Lonchura striata: one gene and its partners. The protein of the gene in region 1 purifies or fractionates together with the protein of each later gene. This does not show direct contact. Links are inferred from orthologs where the notes say so. Each region holds a gene or a part of one and is shown on either strand. Other genes may lie near its edges. The genes, in order: TSSC4, PRPF6 and ECD.

Region 1 (3,744 bases):
TCATCTACAGATGGCTCCTCAGGAGATATTGTATCAACTTCTGCTTCACCCACCAGCCCCAAGTCATCAGAGTCAGAATCGCTGAGTGACACCGTGTCTGAGGGCAGAGCTCCTTCGTAGTCTTTGCCACCATCAGCCACTATCCCCAGAAAAGGTTCACCTGCCTCCTGGTCTCCCATCTTCAAGCTGTCACTCCACTGAGGTCTTTGATGTAGGCCCAGGAACAACTCTAAATACGCTTTTCCAAATGCCCAGCAAATTTAGTGCCTAGAATACAAAGGAGCATAAAAACTTAACTGTGAAATGAGAACCAAGAATGAGACCATCACTCTGTGTCATGCAAAGTAATTATAACTGCAATATAACAGTTAGCTGTGCTTTAGGGATTCCCAAGCAATTTTGCTTCAAATGAAAGCATTATTTAAGGAATGAATGCACATTAAAATTAAAGATTTACACAAGACTGAATAGAAGAATATGAAGTAATTGAAAGTAATGCTACCAAATTTCATTACAGGTTGCATCAGATGCAATTACTAAAAGATGAACATAAAGCTCTTGAGTTAATCTGAATCCCTGTCTTGTACATCTTCCAAGACTCTGCATATTACACTGTGTTTACTCACACTGTAAAAATCCACAAAAACACATCCAATTTCTCACACTTGCCTGTGGCCAGTACAACCCTTACTGCATTAGCACTGTACCTGCTGTCCCAACAGCCATCAGTGACAGATGACAAAAATAAAAGGGCCGCTGTTTTAAGCCTGCTTAAATGTGGCATAAAATACAAACTCCACTCCTTCCTTTGGTTTTATTCTCTTAAGTCATTACTAGATTCCAGGAATTGGAAAACCAGCCAGCTCAAGAAATCAATCCCATTGGATTAAGAAATCTAATTACACATACCAGGCTCACACATGGAAACTAGGAGAGATTGCAACCACAGGCCTGCAAGAGCTGGCCCTTCAGTCAGTAAATGACAGCATGATTTGAAGCCTGACTTCCAGGAGCAGCTGGAACACCTGACAGTGCCACCTGCTTGAAGGGAATCTCGCTGAATTCTGGCGGTCGATGACCCAGCTACCACTTGCTGGGCAATTGGAAACAGAGCTGGTGCACACACACATTTTGGTTCAGCTCACGTGAATTATGGAAACAGTTCTAACATATTATTAGAATAAGCTTGACTACCTAATTATAGGCTCTTCTGTAACGATGCAGTAAACAGACATGGACAGTCTGTTAGTCACTCACTTTCTCTTGAGACTGAGTCAGCTTTCCCTCCTGAGGGTCAGTTAAAGCCACCAAAGATCTCAGCACTTCCACCCTAGAAAATAAACATTTCCATCATGATACTGGAAATGTAGTTTTAAAAATAATTCTGTCCCCCTGAATTATCCAAAGCTGCAGAACTGGGTTCTAAATCTGACACAAACTCATAGTGGTATAAAAGTCTGTAGATATTACTGAATTTTTGGCAGAAGAACAGCACACAGCCTAATAACATAGGCACCAGTATATTTACCCAGCCTTCACATTCACACTGCCAACTTTATCCTGTAGAACAGAAGGGAGGTTTTAAAAAAAATCAAGCTGTAATTTGCATGTGCAAAAGAGTAAATAAACAGTATTAAATGCAGCTAAGATACAAAAATAATAGTTATGCATTGTAAACATTAAGTGCTGCTAAGTATTAAGACCATGGGTAACAGAGACTTTTGTTTTCAAAGAAACGTCACGTTCAAATTTAGGGCCAGATTGTTATGAATCACAAAACACAGAGACCTTTTGAGGAGTGCTATGTTCCATGTCAAGTTTGGCTGTCTTTGACAGAAAGGATCTGATGGCTACTTTTGAAAACACTGCCCTCCATGTAACTCCTAGTGGGAAATAATCTTCTTAAAATGATACAGCCTTCTGCTTAGTTTTGGAACATATGAAAAGTAATGACTACAACTCAGAAAAGGCCTCGAAGTGCACAATTAAATAAAATAGCTGTTTTCAGATGGCAATAGAAGTGATCATCAGGGCCATGTCTTGTCTGAGGGCACTTACACAGAAAGGAGAAATTCTGCTCCTAAGGAGATGTTTTGGCCTTAACAAAGTTGGTGGCCAAACATGCCGGCCCTTACAGCACACCAGACCCACTCACAGGTGTGTTACGGTGACGCGATCACAGCACGACTCGGGCAGCATGACGTCCCTCCGGATGGGAACGATCCCAGCGGGCTCCTCCATCCTGGCGCTGCTCTGTGCGGAGGACGGAGACCTCAGACACCGCAAACCGCGACCACGGGCCGCGCCAAAGCCCACACAGCCCCTCGGGACGGGGATCCGCAGGCCCCCGCGCCGAGGAACAGCGAAGAGGAACAGGGAAAAGAGCACCGGCCGCTGGGCACGGTGATGGTGCGGCCCCGGCTGTGCTGCCCGTCCCGGCCCCAGAGCGCTTCGCGGCCCGGGATGCTGCTGGATGCGAACCGCCCGCCCCACACGCGGCCCTCGCTGGCCCTGCGCCCCGGCCACCGCCACCCGCCCGGGCACGCAGCGCGAACCGCCGGGGAGGCGAAGGGAGGGGGGAATGGAAGGGGGAGCCCCCGTACCCCGACACCGCACAGCCCCACACTTCCACAGCAGCCGCCCGCCTTGCCCACCTCCGCCCACGGCCCGCGGCGCGCCGGGACACCGAGTCCCTCTGCCCTGCTCCACGGGGCGGCCACGGCGGCGGCAGGACTACAGCTCCCGGCGGGCAGCGCGGCGCGGAAAGGGCCGGCGCCTCCCCGCCCCGCCTCTCTCGGGGCTGCTGGGAGTTGTAGGCGGCCGTCTCGCCTCGGCGGAGGACATTTTGCGAGCCGGGGAGCGGGGCGAGGCGGCGCTGCGCGGCGGGACTACAGCTCCCAGGGCGCACCGCGGCGCCGACATTTCGCAGCCTGTGCGGGCCCTGCTCGGGGCCCGGGGCCCGGTGCTCGGTGCGGGGCTCGGTGCGGAGCTCGGTGCGGGGCTCGGTGCGGGGCTCGGTGCGGGGCTCGCCCGTGCACCCCGGAGAGCCGCGGGGCCGCCCCGGCGCCGTGAGGGGCGGACACGGCACCGCCGCCGCCTTCCGCAGTCGCAGTCTAGAAAAAAACCCATGTCACAGCTTTTGTTCTCATCGGAACAGCAGGGCTTGGCCACCACGAACACATCCGAAGTTTTCTGTTTGCTTTGTTTGGTTTCTTTTTTTGTTGTTGTTGTTGTTGTTTTTCCTCTCTCTTACGTGTTTATTCTCAAACCAGAAAACCCGAAGTCACTTGAGGCATAAAACCACTATCCATCCAAATAAAAAAGTTTCCATTTTCCGTCCCAGAGGAACATTTTTTGCGCGTGTGTCAAGAAGTGGGGCTCTGTCTGAAAATGTTTTATTGGCGCCGGCCAAAGAGACTAGATTTTTGTTTTTCCCCTTATTTCAGCAAAAAAAGTTGAAATTTTCAGCGCAAATACATTTCCCAAGAGGCTTCACTATTCAGCTTGTTTTCCCTGTGTTTAGGAAAAGGTTTGCTGTGCTGGAAAGGATTGTGCCAGACAATGCTGTGGCTGCAGGAGCTTCACTGGCTCCCTTCAAGCTCTGCCTCGCCGTGACTCACACATAATATAAACTGCAGTCACTTCATGTGCATCCTTCGTTTTTAAATACATACTTTTGCCTGCTGGAGTGTTGCTAATTACAGTAATTTATGACACGAGGTCTGTGTTTGGAACACACTTGGC
Region 2 (3,744 bases), on another chromosome or scaffold:
TGAGGTCATGCTCAAAGCAGCACTTGGCAAGACTTTGATTAAAGTGTTCACATAACAGAAGAATGTGTTTGATAAGAGTTAGGGCATAAAAAAGGGCATTTTTTTCCAATCTTAGATTATCAACATTACAACAAGAGATCCTTTATCAAATAAGACAGTATTATAGTGTAAAAACAGACATCTCCAAGTGAACTTCAGTCTCTGACCTCCTCTTAATGAGAGGTGAATTTAACAAGTAACACATACTGTTTACAAGCATGAGGTGACTCCTCTAACAATTTCCAATCTACTGTGCAGTCTGTGATGCATCTCCCCACACCATCTTAATGAACTACAGGGACTCTTAATTAACTACAGTGAAGTAATTTAATGGCATCCACTATCAAAGCAAGTGGTGCAAAATACCTGTCATCCTCAATTAACCAGGAAACACCCCCTGCTAGTGCTGTAGCTTATCCTACCTCCTTTCTTTCCTGCGTTCATCCATCCTCTTGTCCAAAGCTGCATAAATAGCATCTGCTTCTTCATCATCTTTTTCATAGGGGCCACTTGAGAACAGGCTCCCAGCATAGCCATTGAACTGGAAATTGGAGAGAGAGGGGAAAAAAAAGAGGAAAAAAAGGCAGGTTTTTTAAGTTCCTGTTATGTTTCTGCAACAACAATCACCTGAAAATGCATTCACAGGCTGCTTCTGACAACATTGCATCAGATTAACACATCCCTAAATAAAAGCATCCTCCAGAAGGATAAATAAACACCATCCCATGGTGGTGTTTATTCTCCCACACCATTTGAAGCAAAACTGCTACAAAATTGCTTCTTTCTCTAAACCACTTCTATTCAGCAATAAATGAGATCCCAGGATAGAAGAGCCATTCTCTTCCTTTAACCACTTTCTACACCAGTGAAAGCAAGCAGAAATAGTATCACAACATTCAACCAACCAAAGTGGGACTTAAGAGACTATACAGGCCACTTAATGACAATATATGGCACAGAATCGGAGTCATTTAGGTTGGAAAAGACCTCCAAGATCATCAAGTCCAATCTTGTCAAAGCACATCAGCTTTCATTTGTGAAGAATAAAAAAAAAAAACCTGAAATACTTAAACTAATTTTTATTTATAGATATTTTCCAAAAACTCTCAGGGCTCTGCATCAGCAATTAAACCACAATCCATGGAGCAAGGCCACAACAAGAATCTGTAAGCACCATGCCACTGTGCATACTGAGGTCTCAATCAATAAATAAAAAAGGAAATGCTGCCTGCAAACTACGGGAAACTCTGGGTTTGAAGCCTCAGCTAGGAGCAGGGCTCATAGCAAGAGCAGAAGAGCTCAAGGACTCTTCTTCCACCTGGGGAAAAACAGCTGCAGGATGATGAAAACCTCCTCACCTCGTCGTAGTTGGTGTCATTCAAATCCTCATCATCATCATCTGCGGTCTGGTTCTTCTTCATCTGGTCGCCCACGGTTCTCTTGCCCGGCGGGGCGTGCCGGTCGTCCACGGGGTCGTTGGCATCGCGGGCAGGGCCGATGTCAGAGCGCGTGGTGAAGCCCGTGGCTCTGCAGGGATAAACCTGCTCAGCTCACTGCTACCCCAGCCTGCCACAGCCACTGCTCAGGGCAGGCAGGGAAAACATCATTCCTTTGGGAGAACGGCATCAGGCGCTCCTCGTGACCAGCTTTCGTAAAGCCAGAGGGAAAACAGCCTTGGAATCATGGAATGGTTTGGGTTGGAAGGAGCTCACCCCGTTCCAACCTCCTGCCATGGGCAGGAGCACCTTCCACTAATTGCTCCAAGCCCCATCCAACCTCGGACACTTCCAGGGGTGGGGCAGCCACAGCTTCTCTAGGCACCCTTTTATAGGGAGAACTTTTCCCACAAATACACTGCAACCACCCAGCTCACAGCACTGCCACCCATCCCATGCACAGCCCCTTTCTGAATTCTGTCTCTGGATCTCTCAGCTGACCCTGCAGGCTGTGGGGCACCACAGGCTGGGGATCAGGGCAAAGGCAGCTGGAGCTGAACCCCCACACTGGCCCGGCAGCACCCCGAGGGGCACAGCCAGCAGGATCTCCCCAGGGAAGGCAATAGGAAATCAGGGGGGATGAACACAACTCACACCCAGCAAACAACACCCTAAAAATTATCTCAGCCACCACCAAACTCCCTCATTGTTCCATCAATAAAAGCCCCCAGGTTTGATCGTTTTTCAGACGCTCCCACCCGCACACAGTCACAGAATCAGGAGGGACACAATCCTTTGCCGGTCTGAAGCACCCGGGAACTCATCCTGGGAGCCAGGCTGGCTTTTTAACACAACCCCGCCCAGCCAGAGAGTGAACGGGAGCCATCAGGAAGGGACAACACTGAAAAGCCGCGCGGGCCACCCCGAGGGGACGGGGACGAGCGGCGCACGGAGGTGTGACCCAGCCGGGCCGCGAAAGGGCTCGGGAGAGCCCCGAGGCCCGGCGGAGCGACCGGGCTGTGAAGGGACCGGCGGGGCGGGGGGGGCCAGGCCAGGCCTGGCGGCGTCTCACCCGCGGCCCAGCCCCGGCACGTAGCCCAGGGGCGCGGGCATGCCCAGGAACGGCTTCTTCTTCTTGTTCATGACGGCGGTGGCGGCGAAGCGACAGCGAGGCGAGAGCGGGGCGGGAGCGGAGCAGAGCCGGGAGAGGCGGCCGGGAAAGCGGCGGCGGAAGTGGCGCCGCGAGGCCGGAGCGGCACTTCCGCTCCCGCCGGAGCAGCGCCCCCTGGCGGCGCGGAGGGCTGAGGCGCGCTGAGGGCGATGAGGGTGGCGGGGACGAAGGGCGTGGGGGTTGTGAAAAACCGCCAACCGCCTGGTTTTTAACATTTTTTTAACAGTTTAATAATAATAAAATGGTTGTAAAAATAGCAATACAATTAGAGGAATAAGGTTTAGAGTTAGGACAATTACAAGACAATAAAAAGCAAAGAATTACGGACGTCCGGCTGCTCTGGGACACTCAGTCATGAGAAGCATACCTTGTGAACAAAGGAATCCCCCTTAAACCAATACACTTGTTGTATATTCATATATCCTTCATGGTTATGCATACATTCTATTTAAAACAAGACCTCTGTCCGTTGTATGTCAACTGTTTCCTTTAATCCCCAAGGCGTCTTCGAGTCTGAGCAAGGCCTGAAGAAATTAGCTTCTTCTGATCAGAAAACCATAAATTCCTTTTCTCTGGAAGATTTAGGTGTTCCTCGAAGCAAGCATCTCATCCCCAAAAAAAAAGTCCCCCCACTTAGGTAGTCTCTATTTTTACATTATGTTGGAACCTAAAACTATATTTAACACACTACTTAAGAGAATTTATACAGCATAACTTTCTAACATTACACATATAATATTAATTGTAATACTTGTGAAAAGCCAATCATAAAACATGCATTTTTCACAGGGACGTTGAGCTCTGCTGTCATGGAGTTTCACATTTATAGCAATTCGTTATTTTTATTGTCATTAGGAAGCTACTAAGGAACATCCCAGGTGGCGTGCGGCCCTGTGAGAAGCAAAGCTGTGTTTAACAACCCCCGGGCAGAATGGGGCAGAAAAGGGGGAAAAAGGGCCAGGATCATCCCAGGAGGGCTGGAGCAGGACAAAGCCTCCATCTGCTCACCCTTGTTTCCCGAGGTGTGAGCTTTGCCTCCCCCCTTTTCCTCCTGCTAATTCCGAGCCAAATTATCTCTGGGAGCAAAAGCTGGATTTC
Region 3 (3,744 bases), on another chromosome or scaffold:
CGCCTGTACCAGACAAAGCCTGTGTCCTTACAGAGACAGAAACACTCAAACCCTGAGCATTCCCTGCTCTGAGGGCAGCAAATCCTCTTGCCTAAACACTCCTGAACATGGTAAAAAAAAATCATCCAAATGGTTCCAGCAGAGCTAGAAAGTTCAGGTGGATACAGGAGTGCTCCTGAAGGGAGCAACAGTAAGGGACACACAGCACTCTGGATTTTCAGAGGCAGCCAGACCACTTGGCTAGAAGTGCAAGAGAAACTCCAGCTGCTACATAAAAGGCTACTGTGGCCCCCTTGCCAATTGTATACAAGTTTTACTCACCCTGTTTTCACTGTTCTCAGGATTCAGCCACTTTGGGAGAAAATCAGCAGCTTCTATCAAAAGAAACTCTCCATCGTTGTCATCAATCCTGGCCAAGGAGAAATTAGTTTCTTAGCAGGAAAAGCTTTGCAGAGCACAACAACACACTTCTGAATCCATGTCTGCTGAGGATTTTTAATATCCACCATAGACCCCCCATAGAAAGGCTTAGGTTAGAAGGGACCTTGAAGATCATCTGGTTCCAACACCCTTGCCACAGGCAGGCACACCTTCCACTAGCCCAGCCTGCACCAAGCCCTATCCAACCTGCCCTTGGACACCTCAAACATGAATGGGATGGGGAAACAGCTCCAAGGACGGGGAATGTTCAGACAGGACCTTCACAGCATAGGCACTGCCCCTTCGCAGCCCTCCCACTAAAGCACCTCAGCAGGGCCCGCCTTACCTGGCTGCCAGCCCCGGGAACTCCCTGGTGATCTCCCGGAGCAGGTACACAATGAACCACTCATCCTCCACGTTATCCCCAAACACGGTGGTGCCGCCGATGTGCGCCGGGGTCTCGCCTGGACGGGGCACAGAGAGGAGCGGTGGCTCAGCAGCCCCTGCCCAGGAACAGATTGTCCACACAGGCTGCGGAGTCTCCCTCCCTGGGGATACTCCAGACCCTGCTGAGCAATCTTGAGTCCTGTGCTCTGCGATGACGCTGCTGCAGCGGGGAGGTGGCACCAGATTCCTCACTGGGTTAACCCTGCCGTGACACTGAGAGGAGTCTGTGGAGCCGCCGCGTCCTCCCTCACTCGCTCCCGGTTCCCCTCACTCGCTCCTGATTCCCTTCACTCGCTCCCGGTTCCCCCTCACTCGCTCCCGGTTCCTCCCACACGCTCCCAGCTCCCCTCACTCGCTCCCGGTTCTCCTCATCGCTCCCGGTTCCCCTCACTCGCTCCCGGCTCCCTTCATTCGCTCCCAGCTCCCTTCACTCGCTCCCGGCTCCCCCTCACTCACTCCCGGCTCCCTTCACTCGCTCCCGGTTCCACTCACCGCCTCCCGGCTCCCTTCACTCGCTCCCGGCTCCCCTCACTCGCTCCCGGCTCCCCTCACTCGCTCCCGGCTCCCTTCACTCGCTCCCGGCTCCCCCTCACTCGCTCCCGGTTCTCCTCACTCGCTCCCGGCTCCCTTCACTCGCTCCCGGCTCCCCTCACTCGCTCCCGGTTCCCCTCACTCGCTCCCGATTCCCCCTCACACGCTCCCGGTCCCCCTCACTCGCTCCCGGTTCCCCTCACTCGCTCCCGGTTCCCCTCACTCGCTCCCGGTTCCCCTCACTCGCTCCCGGTTCTCCTCACTCGCTCCCGGCTCCCCTCACTCACTCCCGGTTCCCCCTCACTCGCTCCCGGTTCCCCTCACTCGCTCCCGGTTCCCCTCACTCGCTCCCGGTCCCCCCTCACTCGCTCCCGGCTCCCCTCACTCACTCCCGGTTCCCCCTCACTCGCTCCCGGTTCCCCCTCACTCGCTCCCCTTCCCCGGCCGTCGGGTCCGCCTCACACGCTCTCGGTTCCTGGCCACCGTATCCCCCTCACATGCCCGCAGTTCCCCTCACACGCTCCCGGTTAGATCCCGGCGGATTCCCCTCACACGCCGTCGGTTCCCGACCTCCGGGAGCCCCTCACACTCCCGCAGTTCCCCTCACACGCTCCCGGTTCCCGGGTCCCCCTCCCAGTGCCGCCGCTCCGGGCGCTCCTCCCGCCGCGCCTCCCGGCCCGCTCCCGGCTCACCGCGGCGCGGCACGTAGCGCAGGCGGAACGGCTGCCGCTGCCACACGTAGGCGGCCAGGAGCGGGGCGAAGCGCAGCAGGGCCAGCTCAGCGCAGCGCCGCAGCAGCGCCTCGCCGCCCGGGCCCGCCGCCGCCGCCGCGAACAGGCGGTAGCGCACCGCGTCCTCGGGCAGCGCCGGCCGCCGCAGCGCCTCCATCGCGCCGCGGCCGCGCTCCGCCCCCGGCGAGCAGCGGCGCGATGGCGGCGGCGGGGCGGCGGCGCTGAGGATGATATCGCGATACGCGCGGAAACCGGTGCTGGCGTGAGTGGCTGCCGCTCCCCCGGGGCCCGGCACGGCCCCGAGCCCCATCGCGGTCCCGGTCGCGATCCCCCCGGCCCCGCTCCCGGGCCTGCCGCCCGCGCTCCCCGCTGCGCCAAGCAGGGCCCTGTGACGGCCCGGTCACCCCATGTCCCCGGCGGCAGATGGCTCCCGGGGTTCCCGAGCAGCGGTCTCGAGCAGACACCGGTGTGACAGAACGCGATTAAATCCCTGTAACTGGCTTTTTTTCTCCTGACCCAAGGATTTAGTCAGTTCTGACTTACTCGGCTCGTTTACTCTTGTTCTATTTAATTCAACTCAATTAATCTACAAGGATAATGGCGTTGTCTCTGCTTTTAGGGAGCTGTAGGCCAGTTCACAGCATGTTAGGTTTAAGTTGAACTGATTTTGAAGCAAGACCTTTAACTCCATATTTATCCTAGAGTTAGTTTTCACACCTTAAACCTAGAGCTTTGGTGACAAGAATTAGCTTTGTAATAGTCATAAATGTGTGCACAGTCCTTGAAAAGAAGGAAAGAGAAACCTATAAAACTTACTGGGAACTCGGTCAATGTTTATTCTTGTAAGTTGTGCCAAGTCCCAGTGCTGTTTTTTCAGACAAGGACTCCCAAAACATGCCCTGAGGCATCACCCACTGCCAGAGCCAGGGGCTCAGGTGTGCTCAGCCACACCCACGGCTGAACACCTCGCCCAGACCTCCAGGTACTTGTCCTGATACCTCTGATCCAGCTGTTCTGATCCAGCTGGGCTTTGTTTACTGACACACTCGATCTCTCATTGTTTATTGTCCGCTGTTTTGCTTTCTTTTTGGTTTTGCTTTTGGCTCGACGTGCGCGTTTCAGGGAGTCGGGAATCCATAAGGGATCGGATGATCATGGGGATCCACGGACTGCTAGTCAGGGTTGGGCTGACACCTCCACAGAAGACAGCTCAGTCTTCTCCTGGGGCTATGACGTGAGTAGAACATAATCATCCAAGCCAAATCGAGCACAGAAAGACACTTGAAATACCACTGCAAAGACATGTTAGAACAAAAATGATTGGATCTGTCAAAAAATCATGGTAGTGATTATAGAAAGAATACCTTTTTTACTGCTTTCCATCTTTCAGTTTAAAACACACTAGGCTCATACTATTCTGTTAATATTCTGCATTTCCACTAAAAATGTTGGAAATGTAAATCATTTAGTGCATAATTGTATCTATAAATGCTGTTCCTGTGGAACCCCAGCCATGGCTGGATGACTTTGAGATACTTGGCGTGCGTTTATCAAACTTCTGCATCCTTGCATGTTTCTCAAAATAGAGTAAGCTCCTAAAACATGATTTTCATTT

The links.
Region 2: the proteins of TSSC4 (region 1) and PRPF6 purify together in Homo sapiens (affinity purification with mass spectrometry; 3 studies listed by BioGRID and IntAct, counting the BioPlex papers as one, with this or other methods). This does not show direct contact. The link is inferred for Lonchura striata from reciprocal best matches to the Homo sapiens genes TSSC4 and PRPF6.
Region 3: the proteins of TSSC4 (region 1) and ECD purify together in Homo sapiens (affinity purification with mass spectrometry; 3 studies listed by BioGRID and IntAct, counting the BioPlex papers as one, with this or other methods). This does not show direct contact. The link is inferred for Lonchura striata from reciprocal best matches to the Homo sapiens genes TSSC4 and ECD.

What each region holds. Positions count from the first base shown.
Region 1 is NC_134608.1:47,080,886-47,084,629, reverse strand, and holds the start of TSSC4 (U5 small nuclear ribonucleoprotein TSSC4), read right to left. Parts: upstream 2,783-3,744; 5' UTR 2,655-2,782; exon of another isoform or gene 2,604-2,654; intron 2,254-2,603; exon of another isoform or gene 2,059-2,253; intron 1,331-2,058; exon of another isoform or gene 1,258-1,330; intron 268-1,257; 5' UTR 180-267; coding exon 1-179. UniProt on the Homo sapiens protein: Protein associated with the U5 snRNP, during its maturation and its post-splicing recycling and which is required for spliceosomal tri-snRNP complex assembly in the nucleus.
Region 2 is NC_134619.1:6,854,789-6,858,532, forward strand, and holds the start of PRPF6 (pre-mRNA-processing factor 6), read right to left. Parts: upstream 2,737-3,744; 5' UTR 2,619-2,736; coding exon 2,548-2,618; intron 1,567-2,547; coding exon 1,398-1,566; intron 581-1,397; coding exon 462-580; intron 1-461. UniProt on the Homo sapiens protein: Involved in pre-mRNA splicing as component of the U4/U6-U5 tri-snRNP complex, one of the building blocks of the spliceosome.
Region 3 is NC_134609.1:37,290,324-37,294,067, forward strand, and holds the start of ECD (protein ecdysoneless homolog), read right to left. Parts: upstream 2,287-3,744; coding exon 2,091-2,286; intron 885-2,090; coding exon 767-884; intron 410-766; coding exon 322-409; intron 1-321. Other genes in the region: primary cilium assembly protein FAM149B1, read left to right, coding at 2,960-3,111, 3,252-3,363. UniProt on the Homo sapiens protein: Regulator of p53/TP53 stability and function. Inhibits MDM2-mediated degradation of p53/TP53 possibly by cooperating in part with TXNIP. May be involved transcriptional regulation. In vitro has intrinsic transactivation activity enhanced by EP300.